Linked DNA regions of Lepisosteus oculatus. The protein of the gene in region 4 interacts with the protein of the main gene of each other region in a pairwise test. Links are inferred from orthologs where the notes say so. Each region holds a gene or a part of one and is shown on either strand. Other genes may lie near its edges.

Region 1 (7,445 bases), on a different chromosome or scaffold from region 4:
TCGATGCCGGTCACGCGGTCGCAGGCCGCGGGGGCCGCGGGCTCAGCCTTCTCGGGCTTGGGAGGCGCCCGGCTCTTGGCCGCCTTCTGGCAGATGTGCAGGTGCTTGAAGAAGGCGTGGTGGGTCCGCAGCCTGCTCCTGCAGCTCTCACACCTGGAAGAGGACGGACGGCCCTGGGCTTCAGCCAAGCCAGCGAGCCCGCTCTGCACGCCCAGGCACCCCACAGCAAGCACAACCACGGCACAGAGCCGCGCAACACTCGGCGCCGGCTAACGTTACAGCACAAACCTCCCCTGCGCTCCCCCGCCCGGCTTTTAAGTTCCAGCTCGAGAGGAACAGCGATGAACATCCTGGTCACGGATGTCACACACACTCAGCACCACGCTCACACCGACACGAGAACTCTTCGAGCATGCAGATGTATTCACGGACTGTCTGAGCAGGTACAGAAGCGCTCTGAGAAGCCACCCTTACAGCCAGGATAGAAAATAAAGCTTCCCCAGCACAAAACGGCCACGTTTTTTCCCGTCAGGTGGCTTCTCCAGAAGGCGTGGCGTTATGCAAGCCAAACCGGACTGAGACCTGCAGCAGATCAAGCTGACCGAGCAGAACGAGTTTCCCCACTCTGCAGCGCAGCAGTGAGCAGCAGCCTGACTCACAGGAAGTAGCGGTTGGGCTTGTAGTGGTGGCGCGTGTGGTCCATCAGCTTCTGCATGGAGGGAAACGTGCCTGTGCAGCCCAGCGTGGAGCAGTGGAACTGTTTGCCTGAGGAGAGGACTCTGTCAGACTCGCGCTCTCTCACGATACGATACTCCATTGTCTGACTGATGCATCGAAGCACACACACACACAAACTTGCAGACAAAGAGTACAAGCAGACATTACAGATAAATATAACATAACAGGCATCTAGTCATGCAAATTCAGTTCACACCACTCTTACAGGAATCCCCACGGCCACACCAGAGCCCTGTAAACGGACTTCACCTCAATTACACTAAACCCATAAAATTACACATCACCCCTTCACTTCTACACACTGATTACAGTTGCCTGTAAACCACTTTCCCTTAATTTTTACTGATTAATTGGGGGGCTTGATTGAGCATAAGATAAAAGACCACTTCAACATCATTTTGGAGGCAGAGTTCATGTGCTTCGTGCAGAAAGTACGAGCAGAAAGCGACTTCAGGGTTATCTGAGATTAATCAGCATGGATGGTGGGAGGTGATGCCAGTGCCACTTACCCAATGAAATAAACTCTCCATGCAGGTCTGGAATGCTAGGAGGGAGATCTGGCTGGAGCGATCTGCTCAATTTCCTACATCCTACATTCTCCACAAAAACTCGAGAGGCGCAAAGTCTCATATCAGTAACCTCTCGACTGCGGTGTGCACACGCAGCTGGGTGAATCTGAACTTATTTAGCAGAGCAGTTGCCAATCTGCACCCCCCAACATGAGCACAGGGCATCAGAACAGCCCACACAACCACAGACCACCGCACACTAGCAGGGTACTGCAGCACTGGGGCTCATCTTTCTATCAGTGTGGGTCAGATCCCTACACACAGCTAGAAGCAAAAACTAACAAAAAAAGATCATTCCCCTAAGGAATGTGGGACTGAAGGACATTAATCCCTACCTTCCAGTGACTGGGTTGGGATGTAGTGGCTTCTCGTGTGGCTCATCAGCTTCTGCATGTCAGAAAAGACTTGCTTGCAGCCGAAGAACGAACAAGGCACAGTTTTTCCTACAAGGCCAACAAAGTCTACGTCAAACCCCCCCGAAGCCTGCAAACAACAAGCGTCCGGACAGATGTCTCACTAACAAGGGGCTCCAACAGCACAACCTTGTAAAGCACTGATGCACTGAATAATCTACAGAAATAACCTGAAGAAGTCAGGCGTGCTGTACGCTGTTTCCCAAAATCTGCTCCTAAAAACAGAAATGCAAATTATCCAAGCACTGCAACATTATTAATAATAATATAGAGTTTGGGGCTCTGCACTGAGAACTGCAGGGCTCCGGGTTTGAATCCCAGGCAGGACACTGCAGCTGTACCCTGGAACCAGATGCCTCACTCTGCTCCTATGGGTGGGAGCCAGGTTTTGGATGAAAGCTACAAGGAAAAGGTCAGCCCAGAAGGAATGCAGCAGACGTTTCTGACAGAGCGGCGGAGCAGAAATGTGGTACCTTCCGTGGCGCCAGGGGGCGCTAGCTGTCCCAGGGGCGGCTCAGACATGTCGCTGCCGAGAGAGGGCCTGAGCTCATGATGAGCAGGACCTACAGGAAGTGGGCGGGTAACAGCTTTTGCGGGAGAGGCTGTCTGAAACACAACAAGAACTTGTTTTGCGATTCCATCACAAAAAGAAAAAAAAAGACAGGGAGAAAGCTGTCATTCGTGCCGAGGTATATTCTCAGTATTAGCTCATTTAGTGACTCAACACGAAAAGACACTTAAACACCGAGGGGACTGGAATATAAACATTTTCCTACCAGAAACCACTGGTGGTTTCAAAACCTGCAAGATTCTCTTAATCTCGTCGATCGGTTTTTAAAGTCACAAAAGCGATGTTTTATTTCTTCCTTCCCGCTCGATAAACCCTTGAGGTCGCCCAGTATGCGGGGGGGACCTGACAGAATGAAAAGCACGTCGCTGCCGTTTTCCTGGGAAGGGCGAACACAGCCTGCGTGTTCGGAGGAAAACTTCATTTCAGCACAAGGGCTGAAAGTGGAGCTCCGTCTCGCGCGTGCAGAAGTTACAAGAACTTGCTCAGAGGTAAACAGAAACACAGCAGGACATCTCCGTTCAACGACTACTCAGCGGTGCGTCCTATCACTTAGTACAAACGGAAAATCCTTGCATCTCCGTCACGCTGCGTTTCAGAACATGCAGGGTCCGAGGGAGGTTCTTTCAACAACGAAATGGACTGATTCTGTTTTGCTGTCTTTTATTCTCGAGTACGACTGCGAATCCCCCCTCATTAGCATTACACACCGGAGCTGCCTACGAGACAGGCGCCTGCAAACACCCGTCAGATATTCCAGCTGTTGGCACTGAATGGCTCTCAATACTGGAAAGAAAGTAAGAACGAGGGAGAAACGATGCACAAAGTGTCGGGTTCGCAGCACGCCGAAAGAAAACACTTCTTTCTGCAAACGCACGACTCTCGGACAGTTTTTAATCTCTTTCACTCACCATTCGCCGGTTAAAACCAGGAGAGGGAGGGAGGGGAGGGGGTTAATGGGTTCCGACCAGTCTTGTGGCGCTGTTTCGGTTACACACACTCCAAAAAAAAAAAAAAGGTGGGCGAAGAAACTATAAATAACCAAAGGCGTGTATTTCACTTTCTCGCAAGCAGCCCCTGCGCGTTAGCCATATTGGACTGCAGCTGTCGCGAGACTGTCAACAAAGACGGGGAGGCGCTCGGGGCTCCCCCGTCACGTGACGCCGCCGCTTTGAACCGGAGCGTCAGGCCGCCCCGTCCGGTCTCCTGCAGGAGGGGACCGCCGGGGGAGCCGGAGCCCGTCCCGGCGAGCGCAACGGGCCACAGGCCGGGCTACGCGCTGGACGGGACGCCAGCTCAGCGCAGGGCACACACTGATATAAACACACACACACACACCGGGGCCGGTTTTTCTCAGAAGGCGGTTAACAGCATGTCTGCTTCTCGGTCTTTTGGCTGGGATCAAGTGTAGTATGTTTTTTTGGGGGGGCTGTGGCAGGAAGCCGGAACGGAGCTCACACGAACACGGGGAGAGCATGCAAACTCCGCGCAGACAGCACCCCAGGAATTGAACCCGGGCCCCAGCACCGCCAGGCAGCTGCGCTGACCCCTGGTGCAGCGTTTCACGCGGAATTACCTGGAGCCCGAGAACAAATACTTGCACTTCGATCTTCCTGCTCTTGTCCCGGGTCCTGCTTCAGGATTAAATCGGACACAGGCTGTCAGAGGTGACAAGGAATTCTGAAACAACCCCGATGAGATAACTGTTTTAGTACTGAAACGATGTCAGAATATCCCATAGCAGGTTAGCAACAGCAGCCAACGTCCCACATTTCAGATCGTATTCTTAGAAACAGCCCCGTCTTGAAATCGCTTCCGGCGAATCATCCCTTAGGACTGAACCCGGGCACCCTCACCCTTCCCCGTATGGCGCGGCTGGTTTGTCCAAGTAATTTTGGAAATCCTTTATAGTCCCAGACAATCCAGTTGAGTACACCTTCACACCCTCTCGTTTCCAGCGAAGACCTGCAGAAAAGGGCGCGTCTCAGCACTGTCCCACACACGGTCACGCTATGAGCACAGTATCTCGTAATTACTTCATGTGATAATCACGTCGTAGCGCGACGGTCACGCAGTCATCGTCTCGAATCGGCGTTGGTTGACTTTCAGTTTTAAGCCGTGAATAAAGAATGAGGAATCAATCATTCTTGTTTAAGAGCAAGTGCGGGTATCCTCATGGTTATGAATGAGTGCGCATTAGGTACAAGTGGTAACATTTCATTCAGACTAAACTGCTCATTCTGCAGCGCTGGATCCCGTCTGAGCCCAGAGTCCAGCTGGGCTCCCAGTAGCCTCAGGTGCTGTCATTACACAACGTCACGGGTTGTCCATCCACTGAAATGATCCTTGCTATTTTATAATTAGGAGATGATTTGCTATCTCGTAATTACTAGAGAATGTGCCATCTCGTAATAACGAGATCATTTTCTCCTGATAACGTGATAGCACATAACACGTTTTCCTTGATGGCAGAAATGCACTCCCGCAGTGTACAACTGCTGTCATAAGGTGGAATTTGTAAAAAGTACCGCATCTTAAATGTCAAGTTGTACAGAGGACAACGAAAAATGATGCAGACGGTAGACCAGCAAATTAGAGATATACCAGTAAATATTCTTCCGGTACTGTGTGAGGGGGGAGAGTCTAACCCAGTCAAGCGGAGAAGCTTACAAAAAAGCAGAACAAACCGATGTAGTTCAAAACATTATTTTAATCTTAAACTTAATTTTTCAGTCCAGAAAACTGAGAGAATAGATCCATCATCAAAATCTGATTGTGAGTACAGTACTGTTACCGCAAGAGGCCTCGGGGAAATATACTACAAAGGTTAGTATAAATGGAAGATAAAATAGTTGCCGTTTAAAGCTAAGCAGCACCCCGCTTCAGGCCAGACCCCGAACTCACGGGGAATGGAGCCCACAGTGGGCACCTGCTCGAGTCACGGAGACTGCCGAGGCCGGCGTGAAGCGCAGCTGCGGTCCCGTGAACGAGTGGCCCACCGAGGCAGTGGACGTGTAAAAAAGCCCCAAATTAGCGAAAATAATCCCCCACTCGTGTGATGTAGTTTTCACCAGAACCCACCTTAGCGATCCAAGGCTCGATTCGGTTCCGTCGGCCTGTCCCCACACTGCGTACTGTGTGTGGCTCAGAAGGCGCCCCTCCCCTTACACGGTGCAAATACTTGTTTCATTTAGATAAAGGTGTTTTCATTGAAATACAAATTAGGCTTCCGCAGAGTTGCTGATCCCAGCAGAGTCCTGCCGAGTTAAAAGCTTGGCGCTTACATTTTTCAGTGAAAATATTTTTGTTTGTTTTTTTTACAAACCGAAACTAAAATACAAGTCTGCTATGTCAACATCTCGCGCTTTAAATAAACTTCATTTCTCGCAGGTGATTGAATTGTACCGGTGTTCTAGCAAAGCCTTTTTGGATGCTTTTGTGAAAGAAGGTGAGTCTGTTTACCGGGTGCCAGAAGCACATAAAAACGACACGCAGTTCCACACAGATGTGGATCTTCTCCAAGTGAATTTTGGGTTTTTTTTTCTTGTGATTTTAGACTTCATCTTCATGCAGGAGACATGGGAGATACACGGCTTGCATCTTGAATAAAGAATCTACGATTGAGACTCGGAAAAGGTGGGGTCAGATGGATTATTTATGATCGCCGGAAGCAGTTCGAGAGGAGGAATTCAGGTGGAATGTGTCATGACCTTTGAACTGAGGGATGCCACTGCGTTTCCACGAGCCTTTATTGCGTCATCACTTCGCAGTGACGTCTTCATTCCCGTTGACGTAGCGGCGTGTGACTCAGTTAATAAGCCTCGTCCAGCAGCAAAGCAGCTCTCGTCTTCCTTTTATATAAAATCCGTGACCCCCACCCAATACCATACCAGTCCCTCACAAAAACGTTCTCTGAAATGTTATGTTGGATCTAACCCTTAGCTCCCCTACCAACACTGTGCAGTATTCATAGTGAGCCTTCCTTCACGATTTAACTGCATCGCATACATGCGTTTTTGTCGTTATTTCGATCACCTATTTTAAAAATCCATATGAGAAAAACAGAAATGCTCGTGCTTCTCTGTCCCAGTGAAACTCTCGGACAGCCGACTCCCCGAGCCCCAGATCCCGGAGCTCTGCTCGCGCGATGTAGTCCTCGCTGGGAGTCCTAGGAGTCAGTCGGTTTCGTACAAAGAAGTTAGTGCCATTTTCTGTGTTCTGTCTTCAGAGATGTATAGCTGGCACTGTGGTGTACTGTAGTTGAGAGGCATAATTTTCACTTTAATTTAGACAAAACTGTTAACAGTTTCTGCTAACAGTATATACAGACTTTTTTTATAACTACATTTTTTAAACTAATTTGGAAATATGACAGAACATATTGTCCAAGACTGTATACAGGTTCTGCATCACCGAAAGCATTTCTGTCTAAAATGAACCTCTGTATGAATGCTGACTGAAGTGCGGAGCTTTGGACCGTCCCTTCAAGCGAGACTGTTATTTAGGGTACAAAGGAAGGAGTAAAGGTTTATTCCATGCTGAAAAGAGAGGAAAAGAAACACAACCTTTCGGCTGTGGAGCCTTATTCGGGTGTTATTTAAGGTATGCAAGCCGTCAAGCGTCAGTGTGGCAAACAGCACCATCTAGTGTCCATAATGTGAATTACAGGCGAGGCTCAGTTTTAGCAGTTTTCTGGGTTAACCAGCAGTGGCAGCGATTTTCTGCTTTTCATTTATAAACTTTTAAAAAGCAATTGTCCTGTTACATTATTCCCAGTTGAAAGAGAGGCTCATTGACATTTTTTGCACGCTATCTTTGTTTAGATATTACTCCACGTCTTCTCGAGGGTACAGTACACCAGGTGTGGGTCTACTTGAAGTGGCTTTTAGCTGGATTGAAAACAACAAAACATTTTAAGCAACAAAAAAGAAAAACCTTGAGGGCCAGAGATACACAGGCTTTTAGAAGATTCACAAAGTGCCGGATTACAAAACAGCATCCAGTTACTTCTAACCCTTCCAAAATTAAATCTCCCTCAAATTTCTCCAAATATCTTCAGCAGGGGCTTAAAGAATCAGGATCATTTTATAGAGATGTATTTTTCATGAAACAGGATAAAAAATGTAGGGATGAGAACTCATCTCAGGGAATCTGCTC
Region 2 (7,655 bases), on a different chromosome or scaffold from region 4:
GAGTAATTCCAGGAGCTGCCAGGGGCCGACTGGTAGAGGCCGAGGAGTTTCCTGAAAAGTTGGAGCGTTAATGGAATCCTGCCTTTTAAGAGAGGCGTTTGTTATTGTGCTTGTTAACCAGCCTAAAAAATATTCTACTCTCATATTAATATTCTGTTTTCTCCCCTGCAACTGAAGTGCTGGCCAGGTTCTATGAAGAAAGAACTGATGTCATTTCAAAGCTGAAATCCACTGAGCAAAGCCTGACACAAGCCCTAGTCTGTAGATCAGTTGAATTCTGGGATCTTTTGTTTAGTGAAGGAGGAGAGGGCATTAGGAATTTCTGTGTAGCGCTAATATCACTAAAGAGTTAGTATGCAATGCCCGTTGAAAACGAATAAAATGCTACAACTGCCAGGACAGATCTCAAATTGGGGACTGCATCCATTTTCAGACTGACTGTTCAATCGCTGTGCTGGCATTTTCTCGGCTTTAAATCACATTTGTTGGCAGCATTCAAATGGACCATAATAATAACAGGAAAGAATACAGATCGCCATACTGCAGGCAAGCCATGAGGAGCTTTGGGATCCTGCCACCTCAAGGATTAGCAGAGCAGATCCCCCTAGGGAAAGAGACACTGATGGATGGTGTTCTGGGAAATGCCAGCAGCGCTCATGAAAAGTGCCAAGAGTGTGCATTTTGATTTTTTCCTGTGTCGCTTTCTCCCTGTACAGGATTTGCAGAATTGGCAGTAGGGGCCAGTGGTGGAGGTATAGGGCTGTATCAGAACCAGGAAGGTCATGGCTTAAGCTCCAAGCCTGCCAGAGTCCACCACTGGGGTGGTATGTAAAAGAGATTGCCTAGAGAGTGTCACTCAGCAGGTAGTTGATGTTTTTATCACATCCTATCCTGTGCAAGTTAATTGGAATTAGAGCATCTGCTCAGTAACTATCATTAGTTCTTTAGTGTCCTGTACATACAGCATTAAGGATGGACAGGCTTTGCTCTCAACTCCTCCACTTTTTCCTTTTCCTGTGTTTTGTCAATGGCTTTGTATTTCGACTGCAGAAGACCTGTCACTCTGCAGGCTTGCTCTCCAGTAACCAATTCATTTTAGTGTGCTGTGAGCCCCGGGCGTCCGCAACACCGCAGAGGAAGCTGTCCCTGCCTGCAGCATTCTCCTGGTGGAAGACATGCAAAGCTCACTCGACAATGTGCTAGGCACAATTGAAAGCACTCAAACCTGTCTCACGAAAAGAAGAAGCTCCGCTCCTGTTCAGCTACTGCAATCGTGTGCTGAATAAAAAAAATATTATTAAGATTATAAGGGAAGCTCCTCTCACAGCACCGCACATCTCCGGTAAGCAAAAAAGTCTCTGCTCTCTCTCTTTTTTCAGCTGTCATCAACAATAGCACCGTGTGCTGTGAGTGATCTTTTTATCAGAGGGCTGTACAATTGACTCTGGGCAGTATGAAGACAGCCTGCTACTGCTTCTGCAGAAGTGCAATGTGCAGTACAAACTTCTCAAAGAACTCTCTAGATGTTTGGAGATTTTCTAGTCCATCTATCGCAGATGAACCATAAACCGTCAGATGGATTTAATGTGAAACTAAATACAGAACTGAGTGTCTCAGCAAAAGTCTGTAGACATCTCTAGTACCTCTCTGGAACGGCTGAGAGATTTTTCTTTTCCTGGTCTCGCTAATGTGTCTCTGGCCCTGGTCCACTTTTCTTCTCAGTAACAAAGAACAAGAAACATAAAGTGTGGAGCAATCCCAATTAACCCTTTCTCTGCAGCTGTTCTGTTTCTCTGACATCTGCCATTTCAGTTTGGGATATAGTCGGTTTTAACTCTTATTGATCACGACAGTAGAGAGACGGATACTGCAGTTACTAACTCTCCATTGAGTAGATGCCATGAAGTTTCATTCCCCTGGCTGACCAGACAGAGAAACGGTCAAATACAATGCAATCTTCCTCTGTTTTTGTGCCTATCGTATTGGTTACAAAAACTTGCATTAAAGGCAGGCAAAGGCTAAGATAAAAAAATCTAGATAGAATTCTAGCCTGATCCCAAAGATCAGATTACTGATCTGTTTTAGAAATTGGAGAGATTATGTGGATATATAAAGTATATACAACTTAACCATGGAAGAAATGACAGTAAAAGTTGTATATGGAAGTTATACCCTCCACTTGCACTACAAACACTGACCTGAAGAGCGGCGATGTCAGCATTCTGCTTCTCCTCCAGATCCTGCAGCTGTTTCTCCAGGGCCTCGTTCATGCCCCGGCACGCCTCGATCTCCAGGCTGCGAGCCTTGAGCTGGCGCCGGTATTCGCCCACCTCGTCCTTGGCGTTGCGCACAGCGTCGGTGTTGCGGGCCGCCGTCTCGGTCAGCACGGTGAACTTGCTCTTGAACCAGTCCTCGGCGGCCTGCATGTTGCGTGCGGCCAGCTTCTCGTACTGGGAGCGGATGTCGCGGAGGGCAGCAGACAGGTCGGGCTTGGCCACCTCCATCTCCACGGAGATCTGGGCGTACTGCACCTGCGCCTGCAGCTCGGCGATCTCCTCCTCGTGCACCCGCTTCAGGAAGGCGATCTCGTCCAGCAGCGTCTCGGCCCGCTTCTCCAGCTCGGCTCGGCCGAGGGCAGCCTCGTCTGCCACCTTGCGGGTCTCCATCAGCCGTCCCTCCGCTTCCTCGCGGCTCAGCACTTCCTCCTCGTAGCGGCTCTGCAGGCCCCGCAGGGCATCCTCCAGGCCGTCGCGCTCGTTCTGCGCCGCCTGCTTCTCGCCCCGCGCCTCTTCCACGGCGGCCCGCAGCTCCCGGATCTCGTGCTCGTACAGCGCCTGGAGCCGGGAGGGCTCCACGTGCTTCTGCCGGAGCACCAGCAGCTCAGCCTCCAGCACCTTGTTCTGCTGCTCCAGCTCGTGCACGCGCTCGATGAAGCTGGCGAAGCGGTCGTTCAGCTCCTGCAGCTGGGCTTTCTCCTGGGTGCGGACGGTCTTGAACTCGCTCCCCACCTGCGTGGCCTGGCTCAGGTCGAAGTCCGCCGCCATGAGGAGAGAGGAGGCGGAGGAGGCGGAGAGGCCATAGGGGCGGTGGCGGGCTGTGCCCACCGAGGTGGACAGCGGAGCCGAGTGGCTGGAGTAGACCGAGCGGGCGCCCCCGTATCCTGCGCTGCGCACCCCGGAGATGTGCACCACCCTGGGGCTGCTCTCCACATATCGGCGCTTGTAGGAGGTGAAGTAGGGGTCGTAGCCAACGGAAGTCATGGCGGCGGGAGGGCAGGGGAGTTCGGTTGCCGTGTGCACTCAGTGCTGTTACCGCGGCGGTGCTGCCTTTATACCCCTGGCAGGGCTCTGACGCAAGCACTTTTCCACTGACAGCGGCGATCAATAGCTGAGCTCTCAGCCAAAGCTTAGCTTGCAGATGGAGAGAGAGAGAGAGAGGCAGGACTCTGTTTCTGCCTGGAGAGGAGGGAGGATTAGAAGGAGGGGGGAGAGCAAAGGAGAAAAGGAAGGGGCTTTTTTTCCTTCCTTCCTGCAAGGGAATTTGAATTCAAGTCTTCTCCTGTGATCCGACTTTTACTTTGGCTCTTTGGGAGTCTCACAAGCATGAGAGGATGAGTGTGAGGCTCGTGCGAAGCCACATTCATGCATTTCAGCTGTATTGCTTTCTTGAAATCATGTCACGACTGTGCAGTCATGTAAATTAGGGCCATGTCCCGAGCTGTCACTCTGGGATTGCAAGCGCTACGAAGTTGTCACTAAGCAAAGTGAAATGGCTCTGGAGGCGCGTGCCAGTTTTTAAGCCGCAGGAACAAAGACATTAAGACACTGAATGGAAATTTCTAAAACATGAACCTGTCTTTATCATAGCTCGGGATATTGTACTTATATAACAGCATTTACAGCCCAAGCCTGTTCTAGATAACACTCCATTTATAGATTGTAGAACAGTAAGGGCAGGTATCATTGTCCTGTAATAACAATAACAGTATTTAGGTATAGACTGCAGGAGCAGGAGACTCAGGTCAGTGTGTGAAATGTGAAATTGAGAATCTGGGGCCCATTCACTTCAGTGTCTCACTATTGTAATAGTAACTACGGCAGACGATGCAGTGTCTTGGCTACAGCCAAGTACTTAAACAGATGGCTTGTGCTGCACTCTGCAGAGTACAGCAGCAGGTAGCGGTGATGTGTAGACCGAGCAGTCTCAGGGCGGACGCAGGAGGCTAGATGCTCAAACCTGGGAGTCTACAGTCTGGGTGGGAACGTGTCGCAGTCAAATTGGGGGGTGGAGTGTAACTGAGTAGCCGCTGTAGCTGTGCAATTCGTTTTCAGGCACAGTCCTCTGCTCCCTGGAGTCTTAGATCATCTCAGCCACCCTTCAGATCAGCATTTGTAATTGACAGTGCCGACGATTGTGTAGCTATCAACAGAGGTTATTAAAAGAAGGCATTTATCACTGAGGTCCACTAATGATTAGCAAACTGCTCCTAATAGTTTGCAGACTACCTCTGGGGATAAATGCATAGCTCCTGGCTTATGTCATATTTATAGCTTGTGTGCAATTTTAAAGTGTCATTTCCAGCACCAGGAGATGGTAAACGTTACCTTTCCATCGTGGGTCTTTGGGATTTGAAGGAACTTTGTGCTTATCTTCCAGTTGTCTCTGTCAGTCCGGATCTTTTCAACCAGTCCGGTGATTGCAATGTTCTTAGTTAAATGTTTTAGCTGGCGCCTGCACGAACACAATATTTCAAGATCAATATATTGCAGAAAGTGCAGTTTTGAATTTCTCTTATTTCCTCATTCCTACCCAGAAATATTCTGTTTTTAAACTCCTTGGCAGGGAGGAAAATATCTCTCTTTGCACAGGCGCTTGAACCATTTCAGGTTTTACAAACTCAAAGCTCTTCTGTTTGAACCAGTAGCAAGTGCTGGATCACTTTGGCTTCTTGCCTTATTAGCAGGACATTTGCATAGGCATTTAGAATTATCTTAGATCAAAAATACATGCAAACATATGTGCACTTCACTGGAGTACTGTACATCTGGTAAAATCTATAAAGGATAAAACTGCTGTACATTGGAAACCGTCATTATATTTTAATATATAGTATATGTATAATTCCTCTATGATAAGCCCTGGTTGTTTGGTGGGTCTAACAGGCTTTCCAATAGGATTTTTGTACAGTACAGAAACACTGTTGTTCCTCTTGCCACCTCAGATGCAGAGGGAAGGAGCATTGTGTTATTCTACCAGATGAACACACTAGGAGCCTGTTTTTCCCTGTAGTCCACAAATGACCATGTGATTCATTTATTCTGGAGAGGGCCATTTGCCCACAGTTTAAGATCTCCTTTCTGACTATCAGACAATCTTAATCTCTAACATTGTATTTTACAAGTGTGCGTTAAAAGAAAAAAAATTATGGCCTTGTTATTTTCTGAGAGGGATATTACTGGCATGTGTGAAAAATGTGAAACATTAGGCTGTAGAATCAAATTTGATAACTGTTTGCAAAGCATGATGGGTCACAATGAGTAAAAACAGGGGACATTTAAATAGGGCCTATAGAGTTAAAGAAAACAGAAGCAGAAACATTTTAATTAATACGGTTTTATGTGATGCTACACTATCAATGAGAAAATGTTGCTTTTCAGCAAGGACAATATCTCTGAGAGTCATTCTGCTCAGTCAGGGTTTGATCAGCGATCTCATGACTGCAGGATTACATTAGTTAGGCTCAGTTAGCATCTTTAGAAATCAAGGACCAATTAGCAAGGCAGAGAAGCCGCTGTGGTGTTATCTGTCGATTAGCTCTTGCTGGTCTCTTGTAGGAAGCCTGTTTCAGTGATCTTCCACTGCCCCCACACAGTTCCCTCTCGGTATCTTTCTTTCAACTGATTTAATTCCATCTCTCATCTTCAAGCTCAGCGCTTTGACAGCTGCTCTGTGTGTACCTCTCTCTCCTATTTAGTAAAGCCTAGGGAAAATAATTGATTTAAGATCTGAGTGAATGTGTGTGAGCGAGTGGCCCCAGTTTACTTATAGACACTAAACTTAAATTTAAACTTTAAATGTTACTGTGAATTTAAAATTTGTAAATCATTCTTAGCCATGAAAGTGATAACATAACTCAATATGTTCTGGACTGGACTTTTAGAACCCATTAATCATCACTGAGTGAAAAAAACTTTCTGTGAATTGTCATCATTGCTTGTTGTAATCCAGTTGTTGGCGAGTATACAGTATCTTAAAATTTTAAACTAGGTATAGGAACTAGCAATACAGCAGGCTTCCCCTAGTCATTTCCTCTGGTGTAATTTATTTCCAAAGCTAAGTTTGCTGGAACTGTTACCCAGCCTGTCAGCATGGAAAAGTTGGTCTTTGTTGAGATAGAATCATGCAGTGCTCCTGTAGCAAGATAGTGTAATGAAAATCACAGAAAGTGTAGATCCCATGAGTGGTAGGTACTGTTCCCTTAAATCTGCTTTTTTTTTCTTGAGTGATTGTCCTCTGGCCATCAAAATCTGGAATCCAGCCAACCCCAGTCCCTCTCATCTTCTGCCTTGCAGATTGCTGCACAGTGGAGAGTGTGGGGACTGGTTTACTGCAGTGTGCTTGTGAGCTACGACATCGATCTTGTGCTAATGAGCTGGGAGGAGACAGCAGAATTACGCTGTGGGGCCAGTGGGCAGAGAGAGACAGATCACAGCAGGATCACAGAGGGGCTGTAAATCACAATGGCACAGATTTAATTTAATGACACAGTCTCTAAAGAGATGGGTGGTCTTGCAGATACAGTAGTTACTCACTGATGTGCGGTATTTTGTATCTGCCCCCTTTCTCCTTCTATAGGCACCTTCAGTCAGAAGGAATTAATTAAGACTGAACTTAATTGAACTAATTAAGCCAATAATTGGTTCAATCAAGAAATTGAGACCTGGAGTATAAGGAAAAGCAGAGTTTTGGAGTTCAGGACTAGGGCTGGAGACCCTTGAAACCGAAGATTCAATATGAAACATAGCTTTACATTACTCCCTGGCACCCAATTACCGGAATTTCTAATTGAATTTGTAGCAGGGCGGGTCTTTAGGTCGATCATCTGATTTATTAGATTACTGAAATCACATTTCTTATTGAACAGCTGTGCTGTCTTAAGAGCTGGCTGGGCCAACATGCCCAGAATGGAAAACAATGGATTGAAAAGGCTAGTAAATCAACTGCCTCTGTTCTGCTCCGTTCCAGTCCAGGTCTTTCAACAAGCGCCCCGTTAATTTAATTACAAATTAAATTAGTTCTAATGAAATACTGATGAAACGTGTTGGAAGCTTTCTCACTTTCGAAGCAGAGATCAGTTCAACTAAGGTGGCACGTCAGTCAAAAGGATCACATACTGTACGTTACAGCAGGTCAGTCCTTGGAGCACGTGACTTGGACGTGGCTACATTTGACTGGACACAGTTAGGTTCCCCTGTGCATGGAGGCATGGCAGGTAGCATTTTTGCCTTAGCTCCTGCTCTGTAACTCCTGTGTTCCATTCTGGCGTGGGGTGCATTGTGTGTGGTATTTGCATGGTCACTCTATAGTAACATTGAGGTTTCCTCCCACAATTTAAGGACGTGCTGCCTAGGTTAATTGCAAATGTGTTTGCACAT
Region 3 (7,780 bases), on a different chromosome or scaffold from region 4:
GCACCAGTCACTGTGGTAAGAATCTAAAATGACAAACACCTATTCTTCCACAGAATGCATACCAGGCAGCAAGTAAAATTAAAACTTGTATTTGATTCAGCCACCTTAAAAGAGCCCCCAATTAGAGTTACCAGGCAAAATACACACACATTATAAACTGTACCCTTGGATATTTTAATGGTCATTTCAGGAACTGAAACCACAAGAAAAACTTCCTAGCTCACCATCTGCAGCTTTATGTTTGAACGGCCAACTTTTTGCAAAATAGCAGCAGCTAGGAAAGAACAAAGAGTTTTTTAGAGTGGGGACCCGCGTCAGTGTCGAAACACGCAGAACGCTGACAAGCGGAGGGAAGAACAACATTTTGGCTGTGAAGGTATATAAGAACAGTTACTGTACAAATGAGAGGAGACTCTTCAGGTATTCCAGTCCATTTGGAGTGAGTAGTTTCTTGGTCCAAGGATCAGGCAGCATCTTCATACAATAGTGCCATCGGGTGACAGCCTTCATTCTGAATAGCCCCAAACTGGGAATAATCCCACTAATGCAGTTTTATACCCACATTTAAAACGTATCTTTACCTAAATGGGCCGCACTGACCTCTATCAATCTCCACAAACTCCTCTTCCATGCCTAACAATACGTGCAGCACTGTCCGCTTACCCTGGTGCGGCGAGTTCAAGAAATAGCGGGGATCCGTTATCCTGGTGTTGATCGGCTCCACCAGCCCAAGAATTCCTTCCTGCAAGGGGAAAACCAGACAATCACATGGCATCGCAGACAGACCTGCCCGATGTTCCCCCCCGGTCCTCCCTCGGGGGGCCCCGTCGGCCCCCAGTTCCTGCCTCGCTGAGCACGGGCGGGCCTGTGACAGCGTCCTGAAGCACAAGCACCGCACGCCATCGACTATCATCACTACGCAGAAACGGCAGCCTCACCGACTGACATCTACAGGGGGGGAAATGCAGCAATTTCACATTTCTGTGCCCCCCCCCCCGTGGCTTTGAGCTCAGCGATCGGGTGTGACCTTCGACAGGACATCCGCGGCGTATCTCAGGTTGGCAATGAAGGTGGCCTCCATCTCCCCAGCTGCAGCTGCTCGATCCTGCCCTGCGGGCACTCTCCCGGCCATCAGGTGAATCCTGGGAAAACGGACAGTGGAGCCGGAGAGGCCACCCAGGGATTAAGACGTAACACCGGCCCTGGCGAGCCCAGGTTCGCCCTGAACCAGTCCGCGAAATCAGCAGTAACAGCGATACCAACTCTCTGCATCTGCTGTGCCCGCCGATGGCCACGGGTCTTGACAGTTCTTGTAGCCCCCCGGATTATTACCCCGTTTTCTCAGGGTCTCATCATTCCTGCTCATAGCCGGCTGCTTCTAATCCTCCGCTAATTAATGCAGCAGGTGATTCATTACACACGTCTGCCCCCAACACTGGGAACTCCCCCGCTCACTAAGGAGGGCACTGCTTTTCAGTCCCGCCTGCGCCTGTCATTGAAGTACAAAAAGGGCTGGCAGTGTCCGGGCCCGACACAGTGCTCTAGACGCCAGCTCTGCAGCAGTGGCTTCCAGGGGCTGCACTGTGGCTCTGGGACACGCCTACAGGCGGTCCTACAGCGGCAGCACCCGAACACCTGGGGGCGAGCTGTGCGATGGGCCCAGCCGAAGCTGTACAACGAGATGGTTTCGCTCGTTCAGTGCCGAGCTGGAATGACGCACACCGACCCTCCAGGACCGGGACTGGACACCCCCTGCCGTACCGCGAGACGACCGAATCCGATTTTGGTCTGGGAGAATACGGGATGGGACACCCGGGTTAACTTCCGCGGAACACGGGAAAGCAGGCCGACGTTGAGTATCCAGCGTTCGAGGGGGGAGCCCAGCGTGACGGTGGCGCTGTGCTTCCTGAGTAGAGGCACGTCTCCCCGCGCATTGCCTCTCACGACACCACGTGCGCCACCGGCTCTGAGCGCTGGCCTGCAGAGGCACGCGTACCTGCCGCAGTCCAGGGCTCTGGCATACCGCACAGCCAGGTCCAGGCCTGCCCTGAAATCCTCCTCCCGGCCAGGCACTGCCCCCAGTCCGAGGTCTCCCCTCCCGACATCTCCTGCAACAGCACACCGGCGGACTGTGGGTACTCTGTGGGCTGCGGTGAATGGCATTCAAAGAGACGTGTAGCAGGAGTACCAGTGATCCATCAGGCCAGGGCAGAGTGATTTCATTTGCACACGATCATCATTGCACAGCGCGTCGTTGAGCTTCCAGAGAGTGCCCTTCAAACGACGTGCAGCACAGCCTAAGGATGCTAAGTAAACTAGCAGTTCCAGGTGACAGCGTATCCTGAGGCCCCATTCAAATGGATCTTTCTACCTTACTGTAACTGCAAGGATCAGCAAGATCGCCGAGGACTAGACATCCACGCAGAGTTGTGAATCAAGGACCACGCCAATGAGACAACTCGTTGGCATATTAATGGCGGTGACGAGTCCCAGCTGATACGTGCCTTTAAATCTAACCCGCAAACTGCTGCTAATGACGCGCCTTAAGCCAATTAAAAACATGAAGGTATGGACAGCTCACGGGTTTGCTCTCTGAGACACCGTCTTGCAAACTTTCAAATAATGTGAAGGCTGCGTTCATAGGGACAAGCAAGCCCACAGTGTGTAAGGCAAACTGTTGCTGCAAGAAGTGCAATCACTAAAAATGTATCTTTCGTACCATTTTCTAGTATTTAACTTTCTTAACATTAATGTACTCGATTCCGTTAGAAAGCCAACATTAGCGAAGTGCATAACTTCACAGTGAAGTTGACTTATTGCGCTGTCCTACAGGCGCCGGTTTTTTTCTCCCTCGGCGGCGTAATAACACGCGCATGTCCCGTCTACAGTGCAAGACCTCTCTTTATTTCTTACCAGGCGGTGTGTTTATGAGCACAACGTCCACCCCGGCCTGTGTAATGGCTTTCTGGAGATCCAGCGGGTCCGCGTCGTACAGCCACGCCGCCTCCACCGCCCGGAACCCGGCTGCCGCCGCCGCTTGAGCCCGCTGGGCGAACTCCGGCAGCTCCGTGAACAGCCAGGAGAGGTTGGCACAGAACTTTAACGGGGGCATTATTTTTTTGCAGACACTTGACCCAAATGAAGGGAAGCGAGGACGGAATTTTACTTTATATAAAAAAAAAGTTCCGGGTTAAATGCACAGCAGAAACAATAACAGGCGGACTCCGGTTCCGTGGTGCAAAGTCCAGTCAACTAACTCATTACCCAGCAGTTTCAGGTAAATACTTGATTTCTGCAGGACGTAGACAGCCCGCTGTGTGCACAGATCTACACGTGACTTCGCCTGTGATTATTTCCGCACCGGACTCGGAACCGCACGCCTGCGCAAAGCGTCTTTTGATTTCGGCAGGGGTGGGTTTGTGTAGTCCGTGGGAATAGCAGGAGGAAAGCTGTACACAACGACTTATTTTCCCATCGTGCGATTCGGGGATGTTGTGAAAGCCCCACTGTTCCGTGTCTGGCATGTACAGTAGTAAACTTTGATTAGTAGTCCCAACCCCTGCCTCTTCCTGTCTCCTCGACGGGGCATTCACCTGCCAGTGGGTGACGGTGAGGGTTCGTCTCATTGTGCAAGGCACCTTGCACCTTACGTTTTCTGGACCTTTGCACCACCCTGAGAGATGACTATCTACAGCGCAGTCTGCTGTCTTTGCTCAGGGTGATCTCCATCTGAAGAGTGTTGACGAACCAGCCGTATCTCGGCGCCTGTGTGAATCCCACTGCCAATAGCCTCATCTGCCCACACACCCTGCATCTGTTGCCTTGCTATTATAGAAGGGCCTCAGAACGCTCAAAGTCGTGAGAAGAATCCTTTGTTTGTTTAAGACCTCACCAGTCAGCAAGGAATCAGATTGACTCTTATCACTCAGTTCAGTAAAACTGAACAAGTATTGTCCGGACCAAAAAAAATGTATGTTGATCTTATTAGCACACATTAGAAAACCATTTTTTTATTTTTACAAAAGCCTGTTTTTTTGGTAATGTCCTTGTTCTCGGGTTTTGAGCGGTGTGCATTTTTCACAAGCCTCCTGTGGGAGACGGCCGGATGTCTTTACGCTTTGCGGGGGATAAGGGCACGGTCTCTCTCGCTCCTGGCAGGATCTGATCCCGGTCTCTCATGGGCTCCAAGCAGAGCGCCGCTTTCCAGACAGCAGATAAACCTCCCGGGCAGAACACCGATCCGCTGCCACAGCAGAGTTTTGCACTGTATAGATTTTTTTTGTGTGTCAACTCTATGTAATTAAATTATTCATCCCGATTAAGTTATATTTTACATATGAAACACATGTGCGAATAGTCCTATATATATATAGATCCCTGGGGAACATCGAGCCATTGTCTGATTAGTGTGATGAAGGTCTTACACTCAATTTACACTTATTGGGCTGGCCCAGCTCTGTCAAATTTAGGTTGGAAGTTTTTTGACCCCACAAATCATGTGAGATTTGGCACCTTAGCACATTTATACGTGTGACTTAAAAGCCTAACCTTTGGCCAAGCATGTAACTGTGATGGAAATAAGTCAATACGGAGAGGCAGAATACAGGTGACACCTAGACTAGATGAATATTTCCTTCCTCGCTGTTATTAGTCAGGTACTGCTGCCAAAAAGCAGTCTACCCGTGACCTCTGAACTATACCAGTCAGCCAACAGAGCTTCCCGAAGTTAGTTTGTGAACTATGGAGCTCTTTACTTTCCATTCCAGATCTGCCCGTATCCTCTAATGCAATGAATTCAGCATTCTTATGTTCCATAATAGTGTAAGGATGCCATGTGTAGCCTGCATTTACTCCTTTAAATCAGATTAATCCCGGAAAAGATTTTCCAGGATGCAACAGGAAAACCTTTTTTTTGTTTTGATGTCTCAAGCTGTCGGGGATTGTTTGCATCTGTTTATATCCAGCTAATGTTCCATGGGTTGTAAGTTTCAGAAGCTCAAGTTTGCAAAATGCCTTCTGCCAAAAGCATTAAGACCAATCACCACGTCACATAAAGGCAACAAATGCTGGAGGTACTTAAATAGAACTGAAGCCAAATGTTTAACATGGTCTATAATAACGATTGCCATCCAAGCTAAATAAAAGGTTTTCCATAATTAAAGCACCATATGAAATTAAAGTACTGTATGAATTCAGAACTTAAACTTCCCAATTATAGCTGTGCTGGAAAGTCTCCTTAAATATAATCCAGAGGAGAAGCTTTACTTGGAAAGTTTTCCATCTGTGTACAGAGACTGAAATGATGAAAGACATAACACTAACATACCAATTACTGGTATAAGTGTAAGTGTACTGCTACACACCAATTCCTGGTAGTACTTGCGGCTGTTTGTAAAGCATAATTAATTGTCTGATGGGTGAAAACTATGTAAAATAGTTACCATTAGATGCCATCTCCATGAAATCATTTTCCCTTAGAAAGCACAGGATCAGCTTGACCACGACTCTTCAACCAGGAATAATCGTCTTTCTGAGTGAGATTAGTGGAAGGAAGCCAGTACATGTTGAAACAGGTGCAAAACCTTACAATGCCTTGCTTGGGTGCTAAGAACTGGTGACTCTGAGAAACAGCCAATGTGATAGCTATTGTGCACAACTGAAATGATTTCTTCTCAGACCTTCAAGAAAGTACCAACAGGGAGAGAGTTCTGTTCCTGTACTTTTCCACTTTAGAGGATTTTTGGATCCGTTTGTCTGACATGAACTGATTTCAGGAAGTAAAAAAGCCCTCAAAGGGTCTTACCAGCAAATGACAATGAAAAATAAACACTTTTGCTTTTGAGGTTGTTCGATAGCCCTTGTAAAACACTGAGAAAATGCATTTTTCCCAATGCCAGTAAGTGGCTTTTTGCACGAGTAATGATTGACATTGCTCGGAGCATCTTTTACATGACATGTCCTGTTCACCGCGAGATTGATTTAGAGGGGATGGCACGGTGCAGAGATTTTAGAGCCCATGTCGGTGTCAGGCTGCAGGAGTTTTCGTGTCCTGCCGTCACGAACTGCATGAATCACACGTGAGCCAGATTGACCATGCCAGTCTTCCAGTCCAGGGGGAAAGGCCCTGTCAGACAGATGAGGCTGATGAGGGAATGATGGCTGATTATGGAGGTCTGTAAGGCTGCCTCCCCTAGACAGCTCTGTGATACCCTGGGAAAGGAAGACCAGTTTTCTACAGAACAGACTTAAACAAACCAGAGCATTAGGGAACATGAGTCTACATGGTAGATCGTATAGCTTTAATTTGTAGGAGTTGCTCGACACTGGTTTTGAGGTAGAGAAAAACTGTAACATGTCCAGCCGGTCAACTCTCATTCCTCAGATTTCATTTCTCATGAATGGAGATGCAGAAGAGCATCAGGGATTTCCAACCACAGCCATTTTTGAAAGTTGCAGTATGTCCTTTTATATACTGTATATACATACATTCACTTGATCTTCATTTTAGTTATTTGTTTTTGCTAGGGTTGGAGAACATTACATAAGAATGGTTCAGCCCATCTAGCCTGTTAGGCAGTTAGTGGTTAATTGGTCCCAGGATGTCATCCAGCTTTTCTACCAAAATGCCAGGTTATCGGCTTCAGCAACAGGGGTTCCCAGCTCCCATATCCCTTCCTGTCCCCCTGACTTCATTTTTAAATGCACTTCCTCGTAGCCTCCGCTTGTGGCTTCTGGTCAGTGGATCAGTGTTCAGTCGGGGGAATTCCAACGGGTTGACTTCGTCAGTGTCTTTGAGGCTTTAATACAACCTGGACACTTGCATCGGGTCTCTTTGTCGTCGCCCCTGTTCAGGACTGAAAAGGTTCAGTTCCTTCAGTCAAAGGTCCCGTGCGTTAAGTTGAGAATGCGTTCAAGAGGCTCAGCTATTCAATCCCTCCTCAGTGAAGGGCTGGGTTCCTGGTGTTCCCCTGTGAAAGGGGGGACACAGAGCCTAACCCGAGACAGATCTGAAACTTGGTCTGAAGAATGCACTCACAATGATTTTTTTTTTAACTGATCATTTTGGTGTTTGTTCGACTCGCCGTACTCCCGTTCCGTTGATTTAGAATAAAGAGGCTCCTCATCATCGACTTCCATCATCTGAGACTCGCGCTGTGTGTAGCGAGCGCCTGTCGGAATCGGCACAGACCTTTTCACGAATGATCGCTGCAGCCCCTTGAACTACAGTATGATTTCAAGGAGCTGAGCTGCTGTAGTGACACAGCAAGGCTGAGTGGAAGAACAGGCCCTGCAGGGCTGCTCCGTATCTGTTTGCTGGTTGTCATTTGTGTTAGGGGTTTCTAACACAATGCAGGAGTAAAAGAGTCTATGAGACAGGTGTTTCATTTTCATAGAAATGTCATAAATTCTGCTTGCAGAACTGCAGTATTGTTATTTTCACATCAACATTTACTGTACATTTACAGTAGTTGTACTTAAGGCCGCATTGTTTGTTTTCAATGCTGAACATCTGGAAATACATAGCTGGTTCTTCAAATCTTTACTATGATTTCATGGACAATTTGAGATGCAAACAAAATATGCTGTGCCATATTGATAATTATGAATCAATTAATCTTTGCAAGCTGGGAATGCAGCACTTGTTTCTATGGAAACTGAAATAGAGGGGTATATGCCGTGACAGCAGAAAGCAGGCTGAGGTAAAAGAGGTAATTTTATATACGTACCTCAGAAGGATCTTGGGTGCCCTGTGTTTTTTTAATGGATGTTAATGAGAAAT
Region 4 (8,295 bases):
AATGGTTCTTTTCTTATTTTTAATTGTCTAGAGAATTACCGTAACTCCTTACATTTATATAGCACTTTTCTAGACACTCCACTCAGAGCAGTCTATAGGTAATGGGGACTCCCCTCCACCATCACCAGTGTGCAGCCCCACCTGGATGATGTGACATCTGACACTGACAGAAGTGACACCAGCTCTCAGTGGGGAGGAGAGCAGAGTGATGAAGCCAGTTCAGAGGTGGGGATTATTAGGAGGCCATGGTTGGTTATAGGCCGTGATAAAGGCCAGGGGGAAATTTGGCCAGGAAACGGGGTCTTTTCGAAGTGTGCCCTCTGATTTTTACTGACCACAGAGAGTTGGGTCTTCGGTTTTATATCTCATCCAAAGGACAGTGGCGTTTTACAGTATAGTGTCCTCATTACTATACGAGGGCATCATGACCCACACAGATTGCAGGATGAGCGCCCCCTACTGTTTCTGCTTACACCTCCTCCAGCAGCAACCTTAGCTCCTCCCAGGAGGAATAGTATGTTCTAGCAATGCTAATACAGACTAGACAGACCAGCAAGGTCTGGCATGCGACAGGTCTGCAGGTAAGAGGAAGGACTCACCAGGATTTGTCTGCGAATCGCTCCCTCTGACAAGTCTTTAGTTTCATACGCGTAGGCCAGTCTGCAAGCCACATGACGTACTGCAGCGTATGTTGTACAAAGAGCAGGACCCAAAGACAGCAGTGAATGAAAAACAGTAATGTGTCTAAAAACATGATACCCTGAATATTACTTTAAAGAAAAGAATAAGCTTTAAATTAATCTAAACAGAAAAGGACCACATGTGCAACGTTAAAGCATTAAACAGATTAGGAGAGTAAATTACACTGGAGCCTAGAACCAATGCATCAACAGTACATTACTGAGACAGCAATGCTGGCTATTCAGCTATGAAAAAGATTGGCAAATTCAGCTAATTTGTGGTCTCAATAAAACATTGAAACACAAATCTGAGTACATTGGTAGTTTTTTATAACGCTGATTTAAAATTTCATCTGGAGAGAATGAGTTTGTTACCTTTTGCTCTTTGCTCCTCAGTGATTGCAGAGCCCACATGTTTCGTAACAGCCCAGTTCCACAGCTTAATGGCATGTTCTTCAGCCTGAGAAATTAAAAATACTGTACACACTGTGTGCCTGCATCCTGGTTTTTGAGCACATTGTTTTGAATACTTTTAAAACACTTCCCTTTTCTTTAACAGGCAGTATTAGAATTAATACTTTAAAAGGGCTGTTACTCTGAGTGTTTTTTTATTATAAATAAGACTGATGGAGAGTAAAGAGGTTTTTAAGATGTACAACTGATGTCATTTACTGGATTGTTCCTATCAGATACATTGCACACAAAAAACAATGGCGCTACCACTCCAACCCCACACCTCCATCTCTCCCACTAGAGGGCTCTACCATTCCAGCGCCTCCCCCGTCTCTCCCACTGCAGGGCGCTACCATTCCAGCGCCACCCCCGTCTCTCCACTAGAGGGCGCTACCACTCCAGCGCCACACCCCCGTCTCTCCACTGCAGGGCGCTACCATTCCAGCACCACACCCCCATCTCTCCCACTGCAGGGCGCTACCATTCCAGCGCCACCCCCCCGTCTCTCCCACTGCAGGGCGCTACCATTCCAGCGCCACACCCCCGTCTCTCCACTGCAGGGCGCTACCATTCCAGCGCCACCCCCCATCTCTCCCACTGCAGGGCGCTACCATTCCAGCGCCACCCCCCCGTCTCTCCCACTGCAGGGCGCTACCATTCCAGCACCACACCCCCGTCTCTCCACTGCAGGGCGCTACCATTCCAGCGCCACCCCCCGTCTCTCCACTGCAGGGCGCTACCATTCCAGCGCCACACCCCCGTCTCTCCACTGCAGGGCGCTACCATTCCAGCGCCACCCCCCGTCTCTCCCACTGCAGGGCGCTACCATTCCAGCGCCACACCCCCGTCTCTCCACTGCAGGGCGCTACCATTCCAGCGCCACCCCCGTCTCTCCCACTGCAGGGCGCTACCATTCCAGCGCCACCCCCGTCTCTCCACTAGAGGGCGCTACCACTCCAGCGCCACACCCCCGTCTCTCCCACTGCAGGGCGCTACCATTCCAGCGCCACCCCCGTCTCTCCCACTGCAGGGCGCTACCACTCCAGCGCCACACCCCCGTCTCTCCCACTGCAGGGCGCTACCATTCCAGCGCCACCCCCGTCTCTCCCACTGCAGGGCGCTACCATTCCAGCGCCACCCCCCGTCTCTCCCACTGCAGGGCGCTACCATTCCAGCGCCACACCCCCGTCTCTCCACTAGAGGGCGCTACCATTCCAGCGCCACACCCCCGTCTCTCCCACTGCAGGGCGCTACCATTCCAGCGCCACCCCCGTCTCTCCCACTGCAGGGCGCTACCATTCCAGCGCCACCCCCGTCTCTCCACTAGAGGGCGCTACCACTCCAGCGCCACCCCCGTCTCTCCACTAGAGGGCGCTACCACTCCAGCGCCACACCCCCGTCTCTCCCACTAGAGGGCGCATATCACTCCAGCGCCACACCCCCGTCTCTCCACTAGAGGGCGCTATAAGGCCTTCAGCCTCACCTGCGGCTGGGGCACCTCCCCCGCCAGCTCGCCGTCCAGACGAGCCGCTTCGCCGAACAGTCTGTCGATGAGCCGCTCCGCGCTGCCAGGCGTCTGCTTCTGCACCAGCTCCTCGGTGAGGTCTACGCGTGAATTACATGAATTCACAGACATGAATAGTAAGGAACCTGATGGTACCCTTTTTTATAATATTCGGTCATTTAAAAAGTTCGCTTTTTAAGACCCACCACGAGTTTCTGGAGTCAGTTTTCCTTCTCTAATCTTCTTCATGGCGACATACCATAAAATAACCAGCGACCATAAAATAATACATGTCCTGTACTATGATGTTTTGTTTTTACGGGACAAATGGACTACAAGTTAAAATTGAACTCCCACATTTGAGAAAAAGAAATGATGTCATTAAGCCCATTTGGAATACAATCACAAACAAATCACATCGCGTCCTCGTCAGTGAAACGTGATGTCGTCCCCAAACACGTTTTCCACACATTTTGAATATAAATGTAGTCATATTTTTTTCCCCTCATGAGTTTAAATTAAATTCAGACCGAAAATATTCCTCACCTTTAACCTTCGAGATGAAGTCGTCCATGTCGGTGACAGCTAAAAGAAATATGATGAGTTTATAAGAAAAGGCGCAGCTGTAAAGCTTTTCAAAAGGTTTGCTTGGCTGAAATGTAATAATTAAAACCCCTCTAAAAAAAAGACGCGCAGTTTTAATGTGTTGATATTTTCGGCGTCTCGACCACGGCCGCGAGCTCGCGAGCTGGGCCTCGAGCCTGTCGGCGCCTCGCGCCGGGCCGCGCGCGCGCGCGCGCGCCTGGAGTTCCGTTTCCCCGGGAGTCTCAAAGCAGTTAATCCTCGCTTTCCTTTAAAGTTTAAATGCTAAAAAAACCGGCTTCCATGAATATTGGTCCGAAATTCCACTGATTGTGAAAAGCTTATATCTTCATTATAATTTTAAAATTATATGTTAGAAATTATCCAAGGTTATAAACGTGTTATTATTATTTCAGGTGGGGAGCTGCGTCAGCATCCGTAGGCTGTAGAGGAACAAGTAACAGGTTTATTCACACCTGAAGAAGGCTCCACGGCTGAAACGTTGTGTGTTCTTTCTTCTCTTTTTCAGCATGAAATAAACCTGTTACTTGTATTATTATTATTATTATTATTATTATTGCTGTTGTCAGTATATTATCCCGGAGAAACCGTCTGTATCCAAGTCGCCGCTAGGGGGAGCTCGATCCCGTGTTATCTGTTCTGGCTAAATCAAAAAAAAACTCCGCAAGAACTCACATCAAAGTCTTTTCATTCCAATCCGTGTTTCGAGTCGCGTGAATTGATCGATAAAAACGCCGTTGAAAACATGACTATAATTCTCCCTGGCGTGTGTAAAGCATCTGTCACTGTAGGAGCTACTGGTCTGTTGTTCACAAGGCACTGCTGAGCAAAGAGGCTTTGACCTGCTGCTCATCAGTTGATCAGATCACTTTATTGGCCATATACAACTTAGGGATTTGTCTTTTCACATACCCCAGCTTGCGCTCCATGAGACACACAGACAGAAAGAAGCTGGGGGTCAGAGCGCAGGGTCAGCCATTTATACGGTGCCCCTGGAGCAGCTGGGGTTCAGGGCCTTGCTCAGGGGCCCAACAGAGTAAGATCTCTCTGCCAGCCATGGGATTTGAACCAGCAACCTTCCAGCCAGAGGCGCACAGTCACAGAGCCACCACACCGCCCCTGAATAGCCACTGGACGAGCAGAATCATTGTTAGCCAATGAGCTAAGATTACTTATGAGTTGACATCTGTGATTGTGCATGTTCACAGTTTCACATCAAGGCTCCTGTGTGGAGTGGTTGTGGAATGATGAATTGATCTCATCGCTCTGCGCTCCTCCCCACTGAGAGCTGGTGTGTGGGGAGCAGACTGGAGCATCATCCAGGTGGGGCTGCACACTGGTGGGGATCCCCATGACCTGTAAAGCGCTTTGAGCAGGGTGTAAGGAAAAGCGCTATATATATATGTAAAGAATTATTATTAGATCATATTAGAATAGAATTAGAACTCCGCAGTGTTATAACTTGTCAGACTCAGCTAACTCCGTGACAGCAGACACCCTGTTCTGAATTTCAGACCACACCCTTCTACTCTAAGAGGCTCCCAGTAGTGCCTTGTTTCCTTTTTTAATGGGTGATAACTGGCACACAGGCTGGAAAATGGAAAATGTTTCTGCTGACGTTTGGCGCACGCCGAACTCCATTCATCTCATCTGCGCTGAAGAGGCCCATTGTTCTCCTCTGCCGCCTACAAATGAAAACGCTGTACTGTCAGCTCTTCCACTGAGCTCTGGCTGCTTTTCTTTGGTTGAGCAAGAAATTGTTAGAATATTTTTGGCAGAGGCCCAGCCTATTTATCGTGTCTGTTTATCGTGATCAGAGGTCATTCATTTGGCCAGTTGTGTTGTTTTTTTTTACACCATAGGAAATGATGCTGGCGTCGCATGCCTCCCAAAACCATTTGTATAAAATCCGGTACGCCTGTGGGAGAACATAAAGGAGACAAATTAAGTATCGCTGTTTCGATGCGAAGCCGTGTAAATACGTTTCATGTCTGAGAAGTGTTGGGAACCGGTGCTGACAGATGAGGTATACAACGTGAACTGAGACAGGAATCTTGATGTTCTCCTCCGCCCTCAGCCTGCAAATGTAATTTCTTGGGTCAATCTGGGCTCTGGCCCTGTGTGAGTACCGTTGTACCTGTATTGTAGGGTTAAATATTGTAACGCTTACGGCCGACAGGCACTGTGTAAGAGCCGGCGTACCAGAGCGGTGACGTCGCCGCCCTTCCCTGCGATAGCAGGACTACAGCTACTGGGCTGTGGAGAGATCTCTCTTTGGCTCACCGGGCTGGGTCACTGCAGAGAGACGCGGGAGTCCTGGGTTCCACCGTCGGGGGCTGACTAAATGCGGCAAGGGCGCCCGCCAGAGCCCCCGTTGCGTTACAATATATAAACGGTATAGTTAAGTGCACGTACAGATTGTCATTGAAAGAGTCCAGACCTTGTTTCCAGCTGAGAGATATTTGCTTGCTGTTATAACTTCAACACGAACTACAGCACGTGAATGTATGGCTTCGCGCGGGAAGGGTGTGACTTTCACATTGGCGGGGGTGGGGGGGCAGGGGGGGCAAAGATCAGGGCAGACCCAATCCCGCTGGACGCTGGGGCACTGTGATCGTCCCTGAGGCCTGTGCCTGTGCCTGTGCCATCTGTGCTGGTGCTCGGTGGCACATCTCGGCTTTTGAGCTTCGCAGGTATCAGAAGAAAAGAAGCCCCCCCCCTCCACCTCCCCTCCTGATATGAAACTGAACCTTTCCTTAGCTGCACGCTAGAGCTTCAGACACCAGATGTAGTCTTGAACCAACGCTCAGGAGGAGGCCAAGCCCCGGTCTTGCCTGTTTCCGGCTGCCCACATGTACAGTAAATACCCCGCTCCTCCCACCTGCGAGCTCCATTCTCACCTCCCCTCTCGCACCCTCACCCTTCCTTGCAGCAGCTCCTGGCTCGTCCCTCGCGGGGAGAAGAGGGAGCGGGGGTCCTGTCAGGGTACCCCTCGTGGGCAGCCTGCCGTTCGCTCAGCCAGGTGAGTCACCCCGGTGGAGCAGACCGGCACCCATCCCGCCTGCACTCTGATCTCACTAGGGGACATGCAGGAGCCACTGCAGGTGCACTGGGAATGTCTGGATGAAGTTGCTGGGGTGCAGGACGGAGAACTTGGGCCCCATTCAGAGAGGAGTGACCAGGGGCAGCTGAGGGATGGAGATGGGTTGAGGAGGGATGCTGGAGATGAATGGGGTGTCTGAGCTCCGTTCATGTAGCTAGTTTCTGTGATGATGGTGATCAGGTGCAGCTCAGTGAGGTTGACTTGTCGTTGTTGTCCTTCCCGAACTTCAGTTAATAACTTCCACTCACTGATTCTCGGGACTACTAAAACGACATCAGAAATGAAAAACACAAGTTTGTCTTTTTGGGCATTACTCTCGGTTTAGTTGTGCTCGTTTGCCGTAGGTACTAAAACTATTGCAGACGGCCGAGGTTGTGTGTTAGTGGGTTTCTAACAGGTTACACTGAAAAGCCCGTAAACCAATGAGATCATCATTCTGCTACAATTTTAGCACCGTTCATTTATGACAGAAGTGGAAAGGCTGGCTTTGATTCTACAAAAATGCTTGAAGGAGACTATTTTTAATAAGTCTCAGCTTTGTGGGAAACAGAAGAATATATATGCTGGTAGTATGCATCACATGGAATGAATTACTAAATTTCCTCAATTTTTCTTATACTGTGTAGGTTTGTTTTCTTTAATGGGAAAAGAATTACACTGTCAAAATCTGTCAACCCAAGAAGGGCTCAGGAATCTGGGTGTTTCGCTAAGGAATTAGTTTTGTGTTCTAAACAAAGGCCGAAACGTGTATAAGACATACATTCAGCAGGCATGCCAAAATCTTTGCAAACTGGTGAAACAAGCTTTGTTCGAGAGTAAACATTTAGCTTATTATTGCTCTTGGAGAAGCTTGACATTATTTAGTGAAAAGTAAAAACCTATCGCTGCTCGTTTACGAAACAGCTTCTGGACATTTAAGCACAATAGCAAAGTAATGGCCCTTCAAGAGCTGCTCACTTCTCCCCTTGCTCCCTACTAAAGAATATCCCGCGGACAGGGAGGCAGCGTCTGCTGGCCTCCCTGCAGCCAGGCTGTCCTGCCCCTGCTACGCTCCGTTTGTGCATGTGAGCTGCGTGGTCGGATTAAAGGAAGGGCTTCAAGCTGTGCGAGCAGAATTGTTTGAGCCTCTAAATGGCATTTCGCAGCCCGGCTTCTAAAATAAAACGTCTTGAAGCTCATTCCCCTCAGCTCCCGGCTTCCGCCAATTGTTCGCCTTTCAGTCTTATCTTGCAATCACCGCTGTCCCGGGGGAACTGGCAGGGAGCTGAGGGCCTAATCACGGGAAAAAAAACACCCCTCCAAGGGCAATTTAACCCAAAGAGAAACAGCAGCATGTTAATCATGTTGTTTTTCTAAAAAAAAAAAAAATCGATGCACTGAAAATTGGAATGCGTGTTTTTAAATATTCCTACTCATTTATGTAGAACAATAATTTGCCGTTGGCGGCCGATAGCGCTGCTGTCCCCCCGCTCCTGGTCCTGGGACAGGTTCTGTGTGCCGGCTGGGATAACAGGGCCTGCTCCAGGGCCTGCTCCCGCCTCCCTCCGCGTGCTTCTGGGAGTGACTCCGGATCGTCGCCACCCTCACCGGGGATCACAACTCTCCGGTAATGGATGGACGGGATGATTGCTGTAGTTTCAGAGAGTCTAATTTCTCTCGGCTCGCCCCTGGGGCAGTTCGGGCCACGCAGCCGTGTTCAGAAATGTGCCCAGACCAGACTGTGAGAAAACGGTGTTCCCAGGTTCTTACACGGAAACTGCTGACCTTGAAACCCAAGAATAATGAATGTCTCTCGAGGTGATACGTTACCACACTGACCCTCTTTTCATCACTCAGCCCAGTTCAATGCCTGTGCTGAGCTGTGCTTTTGAATAATCTGAGTGTTGAGAGTTTGACAGGAACACATATAGCCCCCCCAAAAATGTATATATTTCTTATATACATTGCATTTG

What was found.
Region 1: the proteins of tex11 (region 4) and znf414 interact in binary tests that used the Homo sapiens proteins (3 or more experiments, as listed by UniProt). The two-hybrid records come from large-scale screens. The link is inferred for Lepisosteus oculatus from reciprocal best matches to the Homo sapiens genes TEX11 and ZNF414.
Region 2: the proteins of tex11 (region 4) and neflb interact in a two-hybrid assay, tested with the Homo sapiens proteins (2 studies listed by BioGRID and IntAct). The two-hybrid records come from large-scale screens. The link is inferred for Lepisosteus oculatus from reciprocal best matches to the Homo sapiens genes TEX11 and NEFL.
Region 3: the proteins of tex11 (region 4) and hyi interact in binary tests that used the Homo sapiens proteins (3 or more experiments, as listed by UniProt). The two-hybrid records come from large-scale screens. The link is inferred for Lepisosteus oculatus from reciprocal best matches to the Homo sapiens genes TEX11 and HYI.

What each region holds. Positions count from the first base shown.
Region 1 is NC_090724.1:1,952,425-1,959,869, forward strand, and holds the start of znf414 (zinc finger protein 414), read right to left. Parts: upstream 3,410-7,445; 5' UTR 3,203-3,409; coding exon 3,200-3,202; intron 2,327-3,199; coding exon 2,194-2,326; intron 1,751-2,193; coding exon 1,643-1,750; intron 766-1,642; coding exon 660-765; intron 154-659; coding exon 1-153. UniProt on the Homo sapiens protein: May be involved in transcriptional regulation.
Region 2 is NC_090697.1:65,109,134-65,116,788, forward strand, and holds the start of neflb (neurofilament light polypeptide), read right to left. Parts: upstream 3,362-7,655; 5' UTR 3,261-3,361; coding exon 2,199-3,260; intron 1-2,198. UniProt on the Homo sapiens protein: Neurofilaments usually contain three intermediate filament proteins: NEFL, NEFM, and NEFH which are involved in the maintenance of neuronal caliber.
Region 3 is NC_090704.1:2,447,372-2,455,151, forward strand, and holds the start of hyi (putative hydroxypyruvate isomerase), read right to left. Parts: upstream 3,506-7,780; 5' UTR 3,113-3,505; coding exon 2,914-3,112; intron 2,148-2,913; coding exon 1,997-2,147; intron 1,143-1,996; coding exon 1,028-1,142; intron 743-1,027; coding exon 664-742; intron 275-663; coding exon 225-274; intron 1-224. UniProt on the Homo sapiens protein: Catalyzes the reversible isomerization between hydroxypyruvate and 2-hydroxy-3-oxopropanoate (also termed tartronate semialdehyde).
Region 4 is NC_090703.1:50,026,214-50,034,508, forward strand, and holds the start of tex11 (testis-expressed protein 11), read right to left. Parts: upstream 3,403-8,295; 5' UTR 3,212-3,402; coding exon 3,184-3,211; intron 2,739-3,183; coding exon 2,617-2,738; intron 1,141-2,616; coding exon 1,056-1,140; intron 680-1,055; coding exon 600-679; intron 1-599. UniProt on the Homo sapiens protein: Regulator of crossing-over during meiosis. Involved in initiation and/or maintenance of chromosome synapsis and formation of crossovers.